Kluyveromyces lactis: one gene and its partner. The protein of the gene in region 1 binds, or shares a complex with, the protein of each later gene. Links are inferred from orthologs where the notes say so. Each region holds a gene or a part of one and is shown in the gene's direction. Other genes may lie near its edges.

Region 1 (2,486 bases):
ACATGTAGGTCTGAAATCCTGAAGGCTGAAGGATCAGAAACCAATCCACTTGCTGATGAAGAACTATCTATCAACGATACCATCTTCAAGTTGAAGATTTTCAAATTATAGATGTTGAAATGTATATAAAGTGGGAAAAAATGTATAGCAGTTACGTTTCTCTAGTGAAACGAAACCCGTCCGTACTACTTATAAATTCACCACATTTAATTAATTTAATTGCAATTATTGGCTCCGTAGATCACCTCTGCTGATTCTCTAGCAACAGTCGATCTCATATCTTATTTCGAATATAATGTGTATATGTAATTCTAAGGCGTTTTCAGTTTATGAAGTTAATCGAACAAAAAACCATATCTCTAGACCAGCATCATTAAACGCCAAAAGGATTAAGGTTATTTCTATGTACGCTGGGGAAAGAAGCCTGGAGCAGGCCGTCCGGTGTATTGCAGACGTTAATCCACAACTTTGAAGCTCTACATGAACTGTATACCGAGCAGTCCGGTTCATGGCAGATATCACGAAGAAGATAGCGATTCCGATCTTGACAATGTCCAAAGTAACGATGGAAGAGCCGATTCTAATATCACTGATGAAATATTGGAAGAGCGAAAGCTCAAATATCAAAGGTACAAGCAACCGTTATCATCATCGTCCCCCATTAGAGACCTTATGAGAGAAAGAAGGAAGGGCAGACTACGGGAACTGGCAAGAGAGAAGAAGATCAATAGCTACAGAAACGACATGGAACAATTCGTCATGGAACAAGAATACCTACGACACTTGCAAGACATGCAACAAGAAGCACAGAAACACGAGATACCGCCAGATGAGATTGATAGACTGGTAGAAGATGAAGGAGAGGTCGTGAATAGTGCCGATGAACCCGCTATGTTGAATAATATTTCCACAAAGAGGGAGCCAAAACAGCTAAATGAGGATGAAGAGCTGATACGGCTGATAGAACTGCAGGAAGAGTACGAATCCTTGATGGAGCAAGAACAACAGGAGCTCGAGGAAACCTTATCTGGCTTTAGCATATAGAGCAGCAGCTTCCACACATATATACGTACATAGTATTGTTACCCGGATATCACGTGATTCATTTTCTGTCTTTCCCACGTGACTTAAGGGTCAACGGCATCTCAAACCGTTTAAGGGGGGAACACTTTTGTTTTGTCATTTTCCAAACAGCAGAAAGGGTATAAAAAGGGAACACACGCGAAGATCAAAGCGGCGCATATCATCGATAACTAAACAAAGAGCGTTTTTCTTAGCTACCCAGTAATCTGTTTGAGTTTTGCAAGAAAAGTGCAGTACAGTGCTATTACGTGCAAGTTTTTTTCTTGAGAGAGAGAAAGAACCAGAAAGACGGATAAAAAGAGACACAACACGATTCAAGAGTTGGAACAAATCAGCTAGACTTTTGAAAGTTAAGTTACAAACATCTTTTCGGGTTATTAGTTTGAAATAGAGACAGGAGAATATTTCAAGAGAGTTTGATTATTTTTATCGGTGTTACGTATTATAGGAGAGAGTTTTAAAACGCAATGAAATCTGCATTCAAATCTGAGTTCCCATTTGAAAAGAGAAAGGCTGAATCTGAAAGGATAGTGCAAAAGTTCCATAACCGTATTCCAGTGATCTGTGAAAGAGGTGGCAAATCGGATATTCCAGACATTGATAAACGCAAATATTTGGTGCCAGGAGATTTGACTGTTGGCCAATTTGTTTATGTAATTAGAAAGAGAATCAAGCTACCTGCTGAAAAGGCTATTTTCATCTTTGTCAATGATACTTTACCTCCAACAGCAGCTTTAATGTCTTCTATTTACCAACAACACAAGGATAAGGACGGGTTCCTTTATGTATCCTATTCGAGTGAAAACACTTTTGGTGACGATGCCCTGTTTTCTGAGGAATGAGATTAAGTTAAACTTTCTTCCCTTTAAGTTTTCTTTTATGATTCCATTAGGTTGTTCTGCTTGATGCAAAACAAGTAACTAATGCACAATTTTGAACCAGATATTGTTGAAAAGATGATCTAAAAGAAAGAACCTGAATAACAATATTGAAGTGATGATAAGATGAAATGCATTGTCGAATGTCTACGATGCTATTATTTTCTATTCTTCCACACCTTTTGCTCTAGATATATACCGAAGCAGTATTTGAAATCTTTCTGATATGTTTTCCCTTCTATTTATCCTATTCTCATATTTCTAGCTGCAACAGTTCCCTAGATCTGGACAAAGCGTTGCTTATAATACCTGCTGATGAAGTCATATGTTGCCGTTCCATAATGAAATCTCTAGGCTTTTTTTTTTCACTTCGAAAGAGGTTCTTCATAAATATACAATTTTATATACCTCTTCAGCAGATTGCAGGTCGAAATTCGGTTTAATATATTCTTTCCATAACCAAAGACTTATCGCAACATCATAAGAAAGCAATATTGATATTAGTTGTTTTGTTTATTAAGATTG
Region 2 (3,427 bases), on another chromosome or scaffold:
AAAAGAAAAGATCAGGAAACCTTAAACGCTGATTGCTGCTCCTGGATGAGAGCTGAAAAGATAACGGAAGCAGGGGCGCCAATAGGGTAAACCCGGTCAAAACGGGTGTGGCAAGACCCAAATAGAGCTAATTAAATCTGCTTGTTTTTTTTCGTAACCTAATGAACCGCTAGTCAGTGCACTCATGTTCTATATAGTGAATACACAATGACCGGAAAATATTGTCTCTCCTCAGGTAATCTTCACTAGCCTCCCTTGTTCATAGAAGAAGTGTGCGACCACTGAAATTCTTGCAATACATTTAAGGTTTTCTTAAAACCTCAGTCAAAGTCATCTTAAAATGTTGCTTGCACCGATATCAGTGTGCTGCTCCGATTTGTAATCTACAACAGTGTCTCTAGCATAGTCACAATATATATATATATACATCAGGCAACATTCACTTGCATTTTATTATATATTATCGCCAAGAGTGGATATATTAAAAAAAAAAGGTTTAAGATCGTCCGTTGAAAAGTCGTTCTTCACACACTTTGTGGTTATCTTTTTTAACTATTTTACCGTTTGTTCGATCAACTAAAGCTCACCATAGCGTAAACTGAAGGGATAAGGCTTTCTATATTAGTTGTTGAGTGGAGACTTTTTAGTATTTTTCTCCGCTTGGTACTATTTCATTATTATAGGTGTCAAGTTTTAAGTTTCAAGTGCCAAGCATCAGCCCGTGACTCAATACCACATAGATTCACAAAAGAAGAGTCGTGTAGTGTTTGTCACACTGAAGAAAACACATATCAGAATCTGCATTTTTTTTTTGATTTTTTTCCTACTAAGCTCTGACGTTGAGTGGCTGAACTAAAGTTGGAGAAGCTACTTTTATTTTTATAGATCTGTTGATTGATCCTCTAAACGTGTCTGTGTTTGTTGTACCTTAAACCAGTCTTTTGTCCCTCTGATTTGTATTCAAATTTCTTTTTGTTACATTACTTAAAGGTACGCTGATATTGATTTATTAATATTACAAAGCTCTTAAGGGTTTATTCCTCCTTGATTACTCTATTTGGGTCTTTTGAAGAGGTATAGTTCACAGCCATAACTCTTGTCTCTGATTAACTGATAATCTTTGATTTTTATTCGGACTCTATTCTTCTCCTTTTCGCGAAGTCTTAGAGTGAGCTAAGAACTCATTTATAAAGGGGTTTGCTAGTGTTTGTCGTATTGTCACTACAAAGGGTCAGTTGAATATTTTACTATTTTTTTCTGTTAACAGATGTCTGGGTCTAAAGGGGTCTGGGGTGCACCTCCTGGTAACAATAATCGTCAGTTATATTCACTAGATGCTGGAAGCAGCGGCAGCGGTGTTAGTGCCAGTAGTGCTCAGCGACACAGTATTCTCGATCCACATGACTCAGTTATGGATTTATTGAACGGACAGCAAAGCTGTGCATTCGATTCCAGGCTGATCCAAAATCAAGATTTAATCGATAGGAAGGGTAAAAGTAACAATATTGATCATAATGATATTAATACTCACACTCATAGTAAAGGACTCACAGATTCATGGCAGGCCATTGATCGGGATGAATATTCTTTTTTAAATGCTGGAAATCATAATAACTATCATAATACCTCAAATGGCGACTTCAATCAACAATTTGGCGGGGTGTTATCATCTGACACTTCTGAAGAAGAGGTTGAAATTAATGCTGCTCCTTCGCCTAATTTGAGTGCTTCTCAGCAGCACAACCAATTTCTAGCCTATCCTTTATCATCAACAGGTTTTGGTGATCAGGGAAATAGTGAAACTACAGTCCATCAGTTTTCTGACGGTGATCCAGTTAAATCGACTAAAACTGGTCAATTTTCAAAAGCAGAACTAGGTGCTGGCACTGGCGAAGATGAGACGATAATGGTCAATTTGGGCCATTCTTGGGCGGGCAGCTTTTTTGTTATGCCGAAATTGTCCTTATCGGAGTCTATGAAAAGATTCAAGATTTTAATTTTGAGCGATGGAGACTCAGCTAACTCTTTCTATAACCGTCTATCTCGGTATCACCGACTAATGTTTGACGTCGGAAAACTCAACGAAGCTTCAAAAGAGGAAGCATTGAAATATACTGCTTTCATGATAATCTTTTCAGATTCAAAGAAAGTGACTACAATCCTAAATAGAATGTGGAAGAAATACGGAGATTTCACTTTGATTCCAATATGTCAAAAGGGTCAGAAGCAAAGCGTCACGGAAAAGGTCAAAACATTTGCTAACTCTAACAAAATAAAATTGATGTCGTACCCTGTGGTAATATCCGATCATTACGAGATACACGGGTTGTTGCGGCATTTGCACTCTCTATACGTTGAAGTAGATTCTGACTATGAGACGGATATACCTAAAAAAACTAAACCAAGAAAAGGTGCAAAAAAGAAGCCGGCCCCTCATCTTGCAAAAAGATGGTGGTTTTGGCCAATATCTATAGCGCTTGGCGTTGGGATTGGGTGTTGCGTCACCTTTTATTTCAGCAAGTTCGAGACTTCCTCGTATAATTCATCAGTTGGGGTTATTCAGACAGCAGATAAGGAGATCGATGCTATTGTTGACGCTATAGAAGGAAATTCACCGTCAATACTTGAGGAAAGCTCTCCGCAGTCAATTTCTGATTTCTTGGGTCAAGTGTGCAAATTAGTTAAGGATACTGCTATCCAGATCAATGAATTATTAAAGCAGTTTCTTTCGGCTCATTTAATGACGTCTGCTTGGATTCAATCCATTGGTAAAGAATTCATGCAACCTGACTCGCAGAGTACCATTTCAAAAGTCACTGCTTTGGATTTAGTGATGTTTTGAACCGGGGTACGTTTATATGCTGCAATTTGGTGTATGTAGTGATGTAACTAGATGTTGTTTTTTTCAAAAGTATGAATTGTTGCCCAACTTTTGTTTTCAGATTGAGCCTTCAATATACAATTTTAGTCCCTAAATGTCAATAGCACAATATTCAATTCTGAGACTTTATTTCAATCTGTTTTTATTCCCAAGGTTTCTCATTTAGTGATTTGTCTCAACTAAGTATCCCAGTTCATATAGGCTATCACAATCTATGTCACTTTAGACAGGATACTTTTTGATAAGTTGTGTATTTTATTTTTGTTTACTGTACAGGCTTGTGACATTTTTCAAGGTTTAAACCCTTACTTTATGTTAGTAAAAGATCCTCATTCACAAAATGAAAAACTTAGATGAATTAAAAGAAAACAAAGATCAAAGTTTAAGAAGTTCATTGGTTCTTGATAGGAGACGTCATGAGGGGATTGTAAATTGTCTGTCATTAATACCAACCTAACCTGTATTCCAGACTTCAACCTCGTATGCTAACTATCGGACGATAATAATTCACGATGTTGGCAGGCTTAAAGAGACGTTGCAGTCTTA

The links.
Region 2: the proteins of ATG8 (region 1) and ATG32 are in contact, whole or in part, in a crystal structure (PDB 3VXW), measured with the Saccharomyces cerevisiae proteins. The link is inferred for Kluyveromyces lactis from reciprocal best matches to the Saccharomyces cerevisiae genes ATG8 and ATG32. Residues at the interface, in NP_009475.1 of Saccharomyces cerevisiae: Glu17, Ile21, Arg28, Pro30, Val31, Lys46, Lys48, Tyr49, Leu50, Val51, Pro52, Leu55, Phe60, Val63, Arg67, Phe104; in NP_012120.1 of Saccharomyces cerevisiae: Ser85, Trp86, Gln87, Ala88, Ile89, Gln90.

What each region holds. Positions count from the first base shown.
Region 1 is NC_006041.1:1,828,147-1,830,632, forward strand, and holds ATG8 (ubiquitin-like protein ATG8), read left to right. Parts: upstream 1-1,550; coding exon 1,551-1,925; downstream 1,926-2,486. Other genes in the region: isoleucine--tRNA ligase ILS1, read left to right, coding at 1-111; RTT105 (Rtt105p), read left to right, coding at 481-1,044.
Region 2 is NC_006037.1:63,812-67,238, reverse strand, and holds ATG32 (mitophagy protein ATG32), read left to right. Parts: upstream 1-1,267; coding exon 1,268-2,842; downstream 2,843-3,427. Other genes in the region: SLN1 (histidine kinase), read left to right, coding at 3,394-3,427. UniProt on the Saccharomyces cerevisiae protein: Mitophagy-specific receptor that recruits the autophagic machinery to mitochondria and regulates selective degradation of mitochondria.